Lonchura striata: one gene and its partner. The protein of the gene in region 2 purifies or fractionates together with the protein of the main gene of each other region. This does not show direct contact. Links are inferred from orthologs where the notes say so. Each region holds a gene or a part of one and is shown on either strand. Other genes may lie near its edges.

Region 1 (7,756 bases), on a different chromosome or scaffold from region 2:
CTGCTTTGGGCAAACCTTTGCATTCACTGCACAAAGCTGGTACAAGGTGTCTCTGGACAGAACACCCCAGCTCTGCCCTGGACAGCAATAAGCAATTGTTCGTAAGGGTCTGAGCAAAGGAGAAAGATGAAAAGGTTCTTACAGCTCTCCACAGCGTTGTCAAAGTCCTGTCCCCCTTCCTTCCTGAACCTGGGGTAGGTGTCTGGCTGGGGCAGCCTGTTGGCAGTCATGAGCACCTTCTGCATCTTGATCCTCCCTTCCATCAGCTGGTCCCACAGGGCTTCACAACAAAAAAGGAAACAAAAGAATCAGTTAGCAAGACAAAGCACTTGCTCCTGGTGAAGTACCTGACAGCTCAGGCCCTCTCCTCTGGGCTGCATTCCTCCTGCTCAGGGCAGCCTTGGCCAGCACAAAATGGGTGCCACGAGTTCCCTCTGGACAAAGCAAATCCCAGCTGCAACTCTGTGACCCACAGCCCAAACCAGCCCTCTGCTCCACTGGTTCAAAGGAAAGCCTGCACACAGAGGTTTGATCCTGTAACAGCTCACACAGGAAGAAATGGCACTGTGGGAGTCACACTTTGGAAAGAAGCAACGTGATCCCAGCAGGAGCAGTGCAGGAAGCTCCCACACCCAATGGCCCCATGAGGATATTCAGCACTGGTTCAGTTAAGCTCATGGATAAATACACTTCACATCAGGAGCTGTTACAGCAGCAGTGACACCAGAACATCTGGCACAACATCTGCACGCACACGGGGCTGCTGCAGCATGCACAAGCAGGGTGCTGGCAGCACCTCAGCATGCTGAGGGGCTCAGGCTGGTTTTACCCTGCCAGCAAACACACAGCAAACATGCACAAACCTAGCTGGTTCCTCACAGCTTTGCCCTTCTCCACTTCTTCAGACTCCTGTCCTCTGGAAAAGGTCTGCACTCCCCCATCATCTTCGTTGTCTTTGGTTTCTTTTCCATCATCGTGGTTTTCACTCCCAAATTCTTCCTCCTCCTCCTCCTCCTCCTCACTTCCTTCTTCCATGTCAGCATCATCTTCACCCTCCTCTTCATCCTCCCCTTCACTGCTCCCTGCATCATCCATCCCCTCTGTAAACTTCTCAAAGTCTGTGATATTCTGGGAGCTGAACTCTGGTGCCTTGGCCTCTTCATCATCCTCCAAGTCATCCTCCTGCTCACTGCCAGCACTGCTGGGCTTCTCCCTGCCCTTTGTGCCAACACCGTCCTCCTCTTCTGAGCCTTCACTGCCACTGTACCAGTCATCTAGTGCTTCTTCAGCTAATAAACAAGAGAAAAAAGTTATTTGCTTAGCAGGGAAATTCCCCAGCAGCAGCTCAGGTTTGGGCTGTTTGATGTCCAGTTTAACTGTAGCTGCTCCTTGCCCTGAGCTCTGCCAGGCTCAGTGCTGACATCATGGTCTGCCAGCAAAAAGGGGGGAAAAAAAGAGATTTCTTACCAGATCCTTCTTCAGACAGAGCATCTCCCCAGAGCTCTTCCTGCAAAGCTTTCCGAGATGTGGCTTTTCCACTGTACCTCTTATCAGCTTCCAGGAGAAAGGCTGAGGCTCTTTTCCTGATATTGCCAACAGGCAAAATGTCATCCGTGGTTTCATCCTCAAATCTGTCAATCACTTTAGCAACTGTAGCTGTGGAGAGGTAAAAAAAAGGGAAGGGGTGTCTGAAAGTGAGCTGAATTCCAGTCTGGAAGGAGCCCTGGGAAGCTCCTCGTGCTCTCTAACAACAGGGCACTGCACAGGGGAACAGGAACTTTGAGAAGTGCAGGAAAGGCACACAAATAATTTCCTGCAAGGGGGAAAGGCTCATGCACGAAGCAGAACATGAACCAAGGATACAGCAGGGTCTCTGAGTCCTTCACGTGGAGGGCTCTGCAAAGCTGCAACGCCTTCACTCACTTTGTGCTTGCAGATTAAAAGAGGAAAGCTCCAATTCAGATGCACTCTGGCCTCTTGCTGTACATACAAGCCACATAAACACATACATTGCACTGTGGTTTTTGCCCTCCTTCATCCCCATCTCCTCTGGGACACAGAGCAGAACAGTCCAGCCCAGAGAACACATCCCACCACTCCCCAGCCTGTGCCAAATTACAATGAGCGACTCAAATCGCTGAGTGCCCTTAATATGCGTTTGGAAATCTTAACGCCTGTTTGGAGTGTTTGTTAGAGGCAGAGGGAGGCAAAAACATCTCCTGCTCATAACCAAAATAACAAAATCTGCTACAAGCACGGCCACTCCAGGCAGCAGAGGACGGGCAGGAGGGGCAGATCCTTCCAGCACCTCCTGGAATCCTCAGTCTGGCACCAGCACACGATGAAGCTCTCCCAGAGCTGCAGCGGCTGGCCCTGGCAGCGTCCCGGGCCGGGCCGGGCGGGTTTGGAGCAGCCCGGGACAGTGGAAAGCGTCCCTGCCATGGCAGGGGTGGCACTGGGTGGGCTCTGCGGCCCCAAACCCCATCGGTCTGGGATTCTGCGCAGCCTGGAGCAAAATCATGGTTACTAAAACGGGAAACCAGCGCTCCTGAGCACGGCGAGTTCCTCAGCGGGCACCGAGGCGCTTCTTACAGGGCACCGCCGCTCCCAGCAGCCTGCAGGACCGAACCGGGCTAGGCCCGACACAGGCCCGACCCCGCGGCTGGCCCCAGCCCTGAGAACCGACCGCGGGCACATCCCCGACCCCGCCGGCGGCTCGCAGGACTCGATCGCGTCGGTAACCCGGGCCCGACCCCGCCGCGGTCCCTGCGGTCAGCCCGGGCCCGGCGGGGCCCGACCCGCCCCGCCGCCACGTGCGGCCGCTCCGGCAGCGCCCGGGCCGCCCCGCCGGCCCCTCCCGCCGCCGCCGGCCGCGGTGCCGAGCCTCCCTTCCCCGGTGCTGCCGCACCTTCCTCCGCATCGTCCTCGGGGTCCCGCGGGCCGGGCCGGGGGTCCAGCAGCTCCTGCAGCTGCAGCGCCAAGGGCGCCGCCATCTTGGGGCCGGGCCGGGGCGGGGCCGCGTGAGGGGACGGGCGGGAAGGGCGGGAAGGGCGGGAAGGGCGGGAGGGGCGCCCGGTCCCGCCGGGATCCGCCCGGAACGAGCCCGGGGTCCGAGCGGGAATGAACCCGGGATCCGCCCGGAACGAGCCCGGGGTCCGAGCGGGAACGAGCCCCAACCGGGAATGAACCCGGGATCCAATCGGGAACAAACCCGGGATCTGAGCGGGAACGAGCCCGGGGTCCGAGCGGGAACGAGCCCCAACCAGGAACGAGCCCGGGATCCGAGCGGGAATGAACCCGGGATCCGCCCGGAACGAGCCCGGGGTCCGAGCAGGAACGAGCCCCAACCGGGAATGAACCCGGGATCCGCCTGTAACGAGCCCAGGATTCGACTGGGAATGAGCCCCAACCGGGAATAAACCCGGGATCCAATCGGGAACAAACCCGGGATCCAGCCAAGAACGAACCCCAACCGGGAACGAGCCCGGGATCCGACCGGGAACGAGCCCAGGATCCAACCAGGAATGAACCCGGGATCCAACCGGGAACGAGCCCCAACCAGGAACGAGCCCGGGATCCAACCGGGAATGAACCCGGGATCCGCCCGGAACAAGCCCGGGGTCCGAGCGGGAACGAGCCCCAACCGGGAATGAACCCGGGATCCACCTGGAACGAGCCCAGGATTCGACTGGGAATGAGCCCCAACTGGGAATAAACCCGGGATCCAATCGGGAACAAACCCGGGATCCAGCCAAGAACGAACCCCAACCGGGAACGAACCCGGGATCTGACCGGGAGCGAGCCCAGGATCCAACCAGGAATGAACCCAGGATCCGACTGGGAACGAGCCCCAACCAGGAACGAGCCCGGGATCCAACCGGGAATGAACCCGGGATCCGCCCGGAACAAGCCCGGGGTCCGAGCGGGAACGAGCCCCAACCGGGAATGAACCCGGGATCCACCTGTAACGAGCCCAGGATTCGACTGGGAATGAGCCCCAACCGGGAATGAACCCGGGATCCAATCGGGAACAAACCCGGGATCCAGCCAAGAACGAACCCCAACCGGGAACGAACCCGGGATCCGACCGGGAGCGAGCCCAGGATCCAACCAGGAATGAACCCAGGATCCGACTGGGAACGAGCCCCAACCAGGAACGAGCCCGGGATCCAACTGGGAATGAACCCGGGATCCAACTGGGAGCACACCCGGGATCCGACCAGGAGCAAGCCGCAACCGGGAATGAACCCGGCATGCAACAGGGATCCAACCGGGAATGAACCTGGGGTCCAACTGGGAACAAACCCGGGACCCAGCCGGGAATGAGCCCGGGATCCAACAGGAATCCAAACGGGAATGAGCCTGGGATCCAACCGGAATCCATCCGAGAATTAACCTGGGATCCATCCGGGAATGAGCCCGAGATCCAACTGGGAATGAACCCAGGATCCATCCAGGAATGAGCCTGGGATCTATCCCGGAATGAGCTCGAGATCCAACTGGGAATGAACCCAGGATCCATCCAGGAATGAGCCTGGGATCTATCCCGGAATGAGCCCAAGATCCAACTGGGAACGAACCCAGGATACAACCGGGAAATAACCTGGGATCCATCCAGGAATGAGTCCAGGATCCAACAGGAACCCAACCGGGAATGAACCCAGAATCCAGCCGAAATCCAGCTGGGATCGATGCCAGGGCCACAGCGTGACCCAGCGGGAGCCGCCGAGCCGCCGTTACCGGCGCTCGCAGCCCTTGTGGGCAGCAGGGCTGTGGGGTCGGCTCTCGGTGCCGGTACCGGCAGCACGGCAGCCGAGTGCCATGGGTAATGCACAACGTGACAACTGCCGCTTTAAATCACCCTCAGCTTCCTCTGCCTCCCCAGCTGCGCAGAACCGAGTTCATTCTCTTCCCTTCCTGTGTTCAATATTCTGTGGCCTCTGCTGGAGTTCCTCTCACAGCGGCGAGGTCCAGAGCTGGGTTCTCAGGTCAGGCCTTGCACACGGATAGATCCTTACACCGGAGTTACGCCTGAGTTACACCCAAGTTACACCTGAGTTACACCCGAGTTACAGCAGTCATGGGAATTCGGGAATTTGGGCTCCTGGGGTCACACTCTGGCCCAGGAGCAGCAGGCAGGCAGCACAGACGTGACCTGCAGAGAGCCTTAGCAGGGACAGGTTCTCTGGCTTTGCCCTCTCCAGCCTCTCCCGTTCCCTTTCTTTGGTCCTAAGGTGGCCCCAAGCCCAAGGGATTGCCTGGAACTGGGGAACACCAGTCGAGGCTGGCACGAATTTTGTTCCAAAGGAGCCTGGGCCCCGCTCAGCCTCTCCGATCCGAGCTGCAGATCCTCAGAGCCCGCAATGAGCTCCAGATTTGGGCTTTCCTCACCCAGCGCTGGGATTTCGGAGGTTCCAGCAGCCCGCCCTGAACCTGAGCACGCTGATGCTCATCCCCTTCTTGTCCTCCTGCGCCCGAGGTGCCTTTGATGCCGCAGAACCGAGCAGGAGGTGACTGGTGCTGGGAGCCGGGATGCAGCCGGCTCCATCCCGCCGCTCGGCTCATGCGGGCGCTTCTCCTACAGAGGGCAGAGGAATATCAGGAATTCCCATCGCCTCCAGCAGGGAGAAACCCGGCAGGCACCGAGAGGGAGCCGGCTGGAAAAACCCGAGCATCGCCCTCCCCTTCCCAGCCCCGCCGGGACCCTCCCCGCCTGACACTGGCTACCTTGATGATAAACTAAAGCTCGATTTATGGAAAACCCAACGTCTGCTGAAAACGCACATTTTCACAGCAAACCTCCCTCCCCCTGCCCAAGCTTCAAAATACTCAACAGCATAAACTCTCAAGTCGGTTTTGTAGTTTGTATTTATTTTAGCACGGCAGGATGGATGGCTCTGATGCTCTGCCTAATGGGTGGTGGGGGATTACCCCTGCTCCAGCAATGAGAAATTAAACACTGATTTTTATTTATTTATTTGCAAATACATGGTTTGGAAAAAAAACCAGGAAACTTATAAATCAGGACACATGCACAGTGTATCCTCCCTAGCTTTGCTTCTAAGTTTTCCTTTTTTTTCCCCTTTGAGTTTGTTGGTATTTTGTTCCCAGATGCCACCATAAACAAAGGGAGGATCCTGGAGAAATAAATCCGTGGAAAATTAAGTAGCAGGAACAAGTGCTTACCTGTGCAGTTACTTCTGAGTAACTAACCACTCACACAACCAAAGAACTAGTGCCAAGACTCCCCTGCATAATTGCATTTTCCAACCTCTGCACTCTTAGAGTGAAAAAGGGACGTTCTCTACCCTCACAAATAATGAATTGCCCTGTTAATGAAGGGAGAGAGGCTTTTAGTGATGGTTAAATAAAACAGACCCAGTAGAATGAATAAAAAACACAAGTGAGTCGCATTAGTCCTTTGGAGTAAAAAATGAGCTCCTTGAAGTCGCAGCGGTTTTGATGCTCAGGCCACCGAGATCAGGGTTTCACCCACTGAGACTAATGGGACAATTGCTCCATATAAATCCCAAAGGCAGCAATGCATTCCCGTCCACGTCCCAGCTGCAAACCCAGGGCTCCTGGCAGAGCTCGCCCGCTCCTCGTCCGTGCCACATCCATCACTCCCAGCCGTGCAGAACAAAACTCCTGCTCAGGTGTGGGGGACCCCTCACCACAGCTCACCCCAGCCACAGCACCTGGCAATTCACAGTTCTTCAGGAGGAGATGCAGTCAACACAAAGCCACATCAAACAGCAACTGCAGCCTGTGGAAGTCGGGGACTGTTAAAATATTTCACCCAGAGAGTCGCCTTTGCCGCTGTTTATTCTCTCTCCTCTGCCTTTCACTTAGCAGGGTAATTAAATCAGACTCCAGGGCTGGGTTTTAATTTCTGGTTCACATGCCCTCCAACCATGCTGCCGTGCCTAGGACTCAGAACAGAGCAGGGAAATATTTGTACCAAAACTGTATCGATACATTTTCATTTGAGATGCTCATGAAAGGCTTTTCATGCCTCACGGTCGGTTCAGAGAAACCCTTGGCCTGTTTAGAAACTACATCAACCTCACTGACATAATTTCTTTGGCATTTTCCCTCTTAATTTTACTTTTTTATTCACATGCCTGTTTGCTAGAATGGGAATAGCAGCCCAAACACAGAGCAGATAAACAAGGGAACGTGGAACAGGCTGGGCTGTAAAAACGGCTTCCAGTTTCTCCCACTCAGCATCTCTCGCTGCCGTGTCCGTGGAGCTCGTCAGCTTTTGGGAAATCGTCAGATGAGATGGAAGCTTTGGCAGGGAAGGGCTGCACATGTAATTATACGTGTCTGTATAATTACAGGTTGTTAATATGAATCCATCTTTCAGAGCCATTCCTTCACCGGAGCACAGGAATGGGCCGGGGTGGAAACGTGGAGCCTCTGGGGCACTGCCAGCGAGGGCCCACGGGGGTGCAGGAGCCCATCCCCACGGCATTCCCAGCACATCCACGGGAATCACCCGCCCCGGAGTCACCGCTGCTGAATTTAATTGACTTACTTCATCAACAGCGACATTTGACCCATATACGAGGGCCTCGTGCTGGCCAAAAATAGCCAGAAGCTGGGGCTGATCTTGCCAATGCTTGGGCGAGCAAATGTCCTTTTCCAAACTGACCTCTATCATTTCAGTCATGCTAGTTCAGTCAAAATTTTCTTTTTAAACCAGCAACGCAATTTAGCCGTGAAAATGAGAGAAAAAAGAAGTGAAAAGAAC
Region 2 (7,944 bases):
TACAACAACCTAAGCAGCTAACCCCCTCACACTGTGAAAGCTGCTGGTAACACTAAATAACAATTATGGAAAGCTTCCTGGGAAAATTAAGAACAGGCTTTTAGCACATATTGAAGGTAAATGCAAATCACAGGGTTGATGCAACTGAACACAGATTTTATACACAACTCTGATCTGCAGGTAACAAAACTTATTTCACAAAGCATTGCAGTTGGTTCTTCAAAAGAGCAAAAAGGTCACAGTTATCTAATTTCACTGAGAAAACCAAAACCAGGGGCAGAACGAGCCCTTTCAATGAGTGGTCCTCCATCTGTTCTGGATTACCTCCTCACTCCTCAGCCGCCTGCTGACACCCAGCATTTCCCTGAGCCCACGACTGAACCAGCCCCAGCCCTGCCAGACACAGGGAGCCTCAGCCTGGGCAAACCAGTCAGTCCCAGCTAACCTCGGGGGTATCCCACCCATACAGGTGGGCACCACCTGCACGTGGAAGCTGTGAATGGCATCACTCAATGCTCATCCCCCTGGGAATGACTAAGGACAGCATCCACAGAAGCAGCACACAGCACGGGAAGAGTTCAGCTGATCTGAGGGACACAGTGGCTTGGGAATACTCACTAAAACTTCACACAGCAAATCAAAGTTGTCACTCTGAAACTTTGAAATATTTATCTGAGATTCCAGCCTTAAAAATAGAACAGTATTATTTCCATGACTGATTTTCCTTTAAATAAATGCAAATGATCAATCCGGGAAGGCACAGTTCAGGGCTAGAGCAGCATGTTCTGAAACTTATATGCAATTAACATGTTGACACATAACCTCTTGTTTATCAGCCCCTCAGAATTACAGTGTATTTGCTCCTCAGAACTTTCAGATCACACATTTGCTCCTGTATTTACTACAGATTCATCCCTGGCACTGGAAGGAAGCAATGCACCAAACCCCATCTCCCTGATCAAGAAGAGGTATCAAACATCTTTTAGGAATGTGGAACACTCTTAAAAAGAGCAGCATCCCCCCAAGTCTGCCAGGCAGGGAAGATCCTGGGTTTGGGATGTTTCCCACAGCACCAACTCCCACGTTTCCAGATCACAAAGAAATTCCCAACAGGGAACTCAGCCCAAACAGCTTCTGCCCTGTGGATTCAAACCAATCTCCTGGCGAATCTCCCCTTCTGCACCACATCAGAAGGCAAAACCTCCACATCTGCATTTAGGAGTGATTTTCAATGCTTTTAGGGAAACATCTCCACTCAAACATAAGTGATCTTGTGCAAGCCTCCACTAAGGTTAACATTAAATTCAACTACATTGTAAACCATTTATACATTGTATACCATCTTCTCCTGGCAACCACAGAATTAATTGTTCATCTCACTCAATTTTTATATTTATCAGTTTCTTATGAAAGAGAGAAAAGTGTATGTCTAAAACCTCCTACTACATACTAAAACTCCTATTAACCCCACAGATATTTGCACGGATTAGCACATTTCCCGGCTCCAGCAAGTGGAGGATACAACACTCATCAGCAAAAGTCCCATTTGCTTCCTCCTGATACAACCTGGCCGCAAAGAGGAGAGACTAAAATGGGAGAGCACTTGCGAAAACATGGAAAAGCGGTTTTTGAAAGTTGAGGGAGCCAAACCTTCCAGCTCCAAATGCTACCTGAGCAACTCACAGAACTCAAAGCAGAGGAGTGTTGGTGACTGTTCCACGGAAGGAAAAAACCAGAGCCCAATTCCCAGGAATTTAGGAGGCATCTCTCAGGGTGGCTGGCCCTGAGCTGGATCCCCACAAAGCTGCCAAGCCTTGTCCTCCCTGCTAAGGGCACTGATGGCTCTGATGCCCCCCAGGGCAAGTGTGAGACCACAGCACCAGGGGAGGAGGCTCCCTAGGAACAGCTTTTAAGCCCCTGCCCTCAGTGACCAGTAACATTAATGAAAGATACACAAAGGCTTTCTACGTTCCTCTTTTTCTTTCTCATTTTATTTCTGCTTTTTGAGACCAGATAGCACACTTGAAGAAAGTTCGTATTTTCTGGATCAGGTAGTTTAGCAACAACTCAACTCGCTAAAAAACACATTTATGTCTCCACTGAACCCAGCTCACCTTCAGAGTGCATTAAAGGGAAATTATTTGCATTTTGCCCCTCAGTTCTGGAGAACTGTATGAAATTCTGTATGTGAGAGCAAATTACACTTAGGAGAAAAAGCAATTATGCTTCTAACAAATAAATTAGAAGATATTTACCGACTACTATTCTCTCCCTACTCCTAATTTAATTTTATTCACGCCTAATGCAGTAAAACGAGGAGTCTCCATTTGCCTATAGAGATCTAATTTGCTTATAGTAAAAAAAAAAAAATTCAGCACCTCTTTCTACTGCTCCCACCTGGATGCCTCTCCACTAACGCGAAATTAGCGGTGTAAGCGTTAATTAGGAGTATAACCAATACACCAATTAGGTCTCGTTAGGTAATTCCGAGTGTGCTGGACCGGAGCTGCAGCACCGGTGCTGCCCCGGCCCGGGGCCCCGAGGCTCCCCGGCGGGGTCTGATCCGCCCCCGGGGGCGCGGAGGGCTCCGGCCGGCCCGGGGAGGGGCTGGAGCCGGAGCCGTCCCGCCCGGGGCATTTCGCTTTCGGTTCGTGCCCCGGCCGGGCCCTGCCTCCCGCCAGGTTCATTGTAGTTATTTATTTATTTCCAATGAAACGCAGGCGCTCGTGGCGCCCCGGGCGGGCCGCGGGAGCGCGGCGGAGGCGGGAGCGAGCGGATCGCCCCGCGGGGCCGGCACGGGCCCGGCACAGCCCCGCGGAGGCGGCGCCGGACCCCGCGGGCCGGGCGCGCCGGCGGGGCCTGAGCCGGGGGGGGCGAGAGGGCCCGGGAGGGTGTGCGCGGGGGCCGGGGGCGACTCACCATGAGCTCGATGGTCTTGTCCTCGATGACCGAGTCGGGCTCCATCGCGGCGGCCGCTCCGCTCCGCCCGCCCGCCCGGCCCGGCCCCGCCGCCGCCCCGCGCCCGCCAGGCCCCGCCGCGGCCCGCCCGCCCCCGCCGCGCGCCCGCGCACGCGCGCTGCGCCCGCCGTGACGTCACGGCGCTCGCGGAAGGGGCGTGGCCCCGACGCGCCTGGCCCCGCCCCCGGGGCGGCTCCGCGCTGACCATTGGGCACGGGCGGCGCGCGGGGGATGCCGGGAGGGGAGGGGCGGGGCCGGGGCGCGGCGTGAGGGGCCCGCAGGGGAGCGGGAAAGGGAGCGGGAACGGGAATGGGAGCGGGAAACGGAGCGGGGAAACGGGAACGGGAAAGGGGAACGGGAGCGGAAATGGGAGCGGGAAAGGGAATGGGAAAGGGGAACGGGAACGGGAGCGGGAAACGGAGCGGGGAAACGGGAACGGGAAAGGGGAACGGGAGCGGAAATGGGAGCGGGAAAGGGAATGGGAAAGGGGAACGGGAACGGGAGCGGGAAACGGAGCGGGGAAACGGGAACGGGAAAGGGGAACGGGAGCGGAAATGGGAGCGAGAAAGGGAATGGGAAAGGGGAACGGGAACAGGAAAGGGGAACGGGAGCGGGAAAGGGAACGGGAAAGGGGAACGGGAGCGGAAATGGGAGCGGGAAAGGGAACGGGAAAGGGGAACGGGAACGGGAGCGGGAAACGGAGCGGGGAAACGGGAAAGGGAAAGGGGAACGGGAGCGGGAAAGGGAACGGGAAAGGGGAACGGGAGCGGAAATGGGAGCGGGAAAGGGAACGGGAAAGGGGAACGGGAGCGGGAACGGGAGCGGAAATGGGAGCGGGAAAGGGAACGGGAAAGGGGAACGGGAACAGGAAAGGGGAACGGGAACGGGAATGGAAATGGGAAGAGGAAAGGGGGGCGGGAATAGGAATGGGAACAGGAAAAGGGAGAGAAAACGGGAGCGGGAAAGGGAATGGGAACGGGAGCGGGAATGGAAGAAGAACGGGAACGGGAATGGAGCAGCAGCGGCGGGCAGCGCCTCCGAGGGACGGCAGAGGGCCGGGGCCTGTCCCGCGCTGCCGGGGTCGATCCGTGTGGGAAGGGCCAGGGCGGGCTTGGTGCTGGATGCTGGGGGACGGAAAGCTTGGAAAGCGCCCGGGAGACTCGCCTCCATCGCTCCCTCCGTGCCTGGCACAGGTGCCCAGAGCGGCTGGGGCTGCCCTGGGTCCGGCAGTGCCCAAGGCCAGGCTGGACGGGGCTGGGAGCAGTGGGAGGTGTCCCTGCCATGGCAGGGGTGGGATGGGATGGGCTTTAAGGCCCCTTCCAGCCCAAACCATTCTGGGATTCTGTGGGCTCTGCACGTTGTACTGTCTGCTTCATAAACAGTTCAGTTTAATAAATCCTAATCTGTGCCTTAGGCCTGGTCTTGCTGGCACCACTGGGCATTTCCACGCAGCTGACCTCAACCCTTGGCAATGAGCAACTTATTCAGCCTTTAGGGTGTAGATCCTGCTGGCAAGCTGCCTCTGCCACAGGAGCCCCGGAGCATCCAGCAGCCGTCCAGAGCTCAGGTGCTTTGGGGACCAAGGCCACTCAGGCTGCCCTCTGACCGGCAGCAGGGACCAAGTGCAGCCGTAGGCATTGGAAATTGGATGCAAATCTGTCCTAAGCAGCAGCGTGCTGTGACAGCACAGCATTGGGCTTGCTGTGAAAATGGACCTGGAACTCCCTGCTAAGCATTTTTGTCTGTTACCTGTTCAAATCTCTGCCAAATGTAGAAGAGATGGAGGATGAACAAATGGAAATGGTGCAAAGTCCTTTCTTACTGACAGCTCACCTGCTCCACAGGACATTGGCATCAGCAGAAATGTCCTTCATCCACTCAAAATGACTTAGAACAATACTTACCGTGAGGTCTAAACCCTTTCTAGAGCATTTAAAAGGTAAAGCAAGAGCTGCAAATGGCCCTCCCTCCCTGCTTCTGCTCACAGCCTGGGGACGACAAATGGCTGTGCCCCAAAAGCTGCCCCATTTCCATCTATGGGGACAAAGCCAAACCCAGAGATGCCCCTGCCCCAAAGTGAGGCCACCCACAGCAGCACTGCCCCTCACCCTGATGCCCCATTGCCATGGAAAATCCACCCTTTCCTGCCCAAACCTGCCCCCCCTGGCAGCTGAGTTGGATCCTTCCCCCCCTTCCCATCACAACCCCTAAGGAAGGACTTGCAGGTGGAATTAGACCCATTGTGTAACACCCCCACACAGGTGTCACTGAGAAAGGTGGGACAAAATCCAGCTCCATTCTGTCCCTGCGATCAGCCATTGGTTCTGGACATCAACCAAGGCAGCAGAGATTTGTTTGGGACACCAAAGTAAAAAATCAGCATGTCTCAGTCTAAATATACCCAGGGCAGGGGTTTGCTGACAGCACAGCAATCCTGGTGCTTTCCAAAGCACAACCTGGTGTTCTGAGTATGGGAAGGATTCCCAGGGCAAAGAGAAAAAAGAGAGGGAAAATCTTCCATTAATTTGCACAAAGGGTAAATAAATGTTGCCATCACAGCAGCTCCAAGGGTTCCTGCACCACAGCAATGCATGTTGCACAGCAGGATGGGTCTCATTCTGGCAGGAGGAGTCAGATGGAAATGGAGTTCCTGTAATCTGCTCTTAATGGTGTGGTAAAAGCAATTCCTATGATGTGAGAGAAGGAGAAATACATAGAAATTAATTAAGGAAAGCATCATAAAAACATCAAATGTTTTGCCTTTAGTGTGGAACACCGAGGAAAGCAGGAGTGGGGATATCAATCTCTGTACCTGTAAATTAAAATTGTTTCTGACCAACTGACAACTTAAAACTTCATGAGGACTGAGCAACATGTTCAAGGCATAATAAGATTAAAAAACAGGTTTTGATAAATTTATTCTGAGATAGAAACTCACTGGGAAAGAGTCAGTCCCAGGAGGAGCAGCTGAGGGAGCTGGGAAGGGACTGGAGCCCCAGGAGAGGCTGAGGGAGCTGGGAAGGGGCTCAGCCTGGAGCAAAGGAGGCTCAGGGGGACCTTGTGGCTCTGCACAGCTCCTGACAGGAGGGGACAGCCGGGGGGTCGGGCTCTGCCCCAGGGAACAGGGACAGGAGGAGAGGGAACGGCCTCAGGCTGGGCCAGGGCAGGCTCAGGGTGGGCAGCAGCAGGAATTTCCCCATGGAAAGGGGGCTCAGGGATTGGGAGGAGCTGCTCAGGGAGGTTTGGAGTGCCCATCCCTGGAGGTGTCCAGGGAACACCTGGAGCTGGCACTGAGTGCTCTGGGCTGGGGACAAGATGGGCGTTGGCCGTGGCTTGGACTCAGTCTTGGAGGTCTTTTCCTCCCTAAATGTTTCCATGAGTCAAGCACAATATTCCCATGCCTACCTGGCTGCAGCAATTTGAGGAGCAGTCTCTGGGTGTGCCCTGCTCAGACAAGGCTGTACCACTGTGTGACAGATCTGTGTCATACATCTGCACAGCTGCCACGCAGGGTCACAGCTGCTAATTAGTGCTAATTAGGCCCCTGTTCAGGTGGAGGCACAGCAGAGAGTTGGGGCAGCTCCGTCCCAGAGAACTTGCTCTGCCAGTTTTCCTGTGAGGATGAGGATGGCGGGGGGGAGGTGGAAGGGAAAGTCCCAGCACCACCAACCCGGAGATATCTCCATTTTGTGCAACAGGGCAGGGATTCCTTGAGGGCCACCTCAGCCTTGCTGTATCAAAGCAAAAGTAATCCTGTGCTTAGAAAAACCCTGGAAACCTCCATCCCCCTGGGCTGACTCCACTGGAACTCAGCCAATGGTTCAGTCCATGTTCTCTGTCCACTCATTGTCCCAGGGAAGGATTTGCTCCCTGGTCATCTCCACCACAATTCCCACACCGGCTCTGTCTGTGTCTCACATGTCCTGGCACCACCACAGCACTCCTGGGGCAGGATTTTGGGAGTGACACCACTGCATTTTGTCTCACTACATCTTTTCTGGATAATGAGCTGAACTATTTCTCTTGACATCCTCCCACACTGGGCTGTTCTGGAGCTGGCCAAGTTCCCTGGCAGCTGCACAGCCCAGACAAGCCCAGTGTCACCAGGGTCCTTCCAGGAGCAATTGCCTCTCTGACCTCCACAGGCTGGCAGCAGAGCAACTCAGGGCGACCTGGAGATCCCAGGAGCTGATTTGAAGGTTCCCTACTCCAAGCAAGTCCTGGAGCCTAAGCAGGGAGCCAAAGCAGCCACCTGGGCTTCTCCAGGCACATGGCAGGGCACAGCCAGGCAGGAAAACTCAGCTGTTGGGATCCCTTAGCTGGGGAGGAGTTTGTGCCGATGTGGGAACCTGGTGGCCAAACAGGTGAAGCAGCTTCTCAGGAAACTCCTGCCCTGGAACTGAAAAGGAGAAACTGGTGAGCAAGAGCTTTTGTCTCACAGCTCTGGAGGTGGCTGGGTGGAAGGGGAGAGTCCCACACAAGGGACATTCACCTGGACTTACAGAGGTCCTTCAGCAGCTCCTGCCTCCATCCCAGCTGTCCAAGAGTTGCCATGTCCAGGGTGGGCCCTGTGGTGGCTTTGGGGAGAGCAGAGCTGCACACAGGGCACAGCCACAGGGCTGCAGCTATGGCAGAGCCAATGGGGACACCTGGGGACACAGAGGGAAGGGGGGAGAACTGACCCCAAAAGGGGCACAGTGAGATGAGCAAGGAGCCCAGAGCCACCTCACCATAGCAGTGACCATGGGACACCAGCACAGAGGGGCAGGCAGGTGGCTGTGGCAGAGCTCTGGCAGGGCTGTGGCAGGGCTGTGGCAGGGCAGTGGCCTGGCTGTGACAGGGCTGTGACAGGGCTGTGAGAGGTCAGACGTTGCTGCCTTCTCACAGCCCAGGCAGGGCTGGGGCTCCCCCACCTCATCCATTCCCAGCTCAGCCCTGCAGCAGCTCCAGGTCACCTCCTCATCCCGCAGGCAGGACCTGCCCTTT

Evidence for each region.
Region 1: the proteins of FBXW11 (region 2) and AATF purify together in Homo sapiens (affinity purification with mass spectrometry; 3 studies listed by BioGRID and IntAct, with this or other methods). This does not show direct contact. The link is inferred for Lonchura striata from reciprocal best matches to the Homo sapiens genes FBXW11 and AATF.

The regions. Positions count from the first base shown.
Region 1 is NC_134622.1:10,339,239-10,346,994, reverse strand, and holds the start of AATF (protein AATF), read right to left. Parts: upstream 3,014-7,756; 5' UTR 2,994-3,013; coding exon 2,909-2,993; intron 1,657-2,908; coding exon 1,468-1,656; intron 1,290-1,467; coding exon 864-1,289; intron 281-863; coding exon 143-280; intron 1-142. UniProt on the Homo sapiens protein: Part of the small subunit (SSU) processome, first precursor of the small eukaryotic ribosomal subunit.
Region 2 is NC_134617.1:17,017,951-17,025,894, reverse strand, and holds the start of FBXW11 (F-box/WD repeat-containing protein 11), read right to left. Parts: upstream 3,011-7,944; 5' UTR 2,965-3,010; coding exon 2,920-2,964; intron 1-2,919.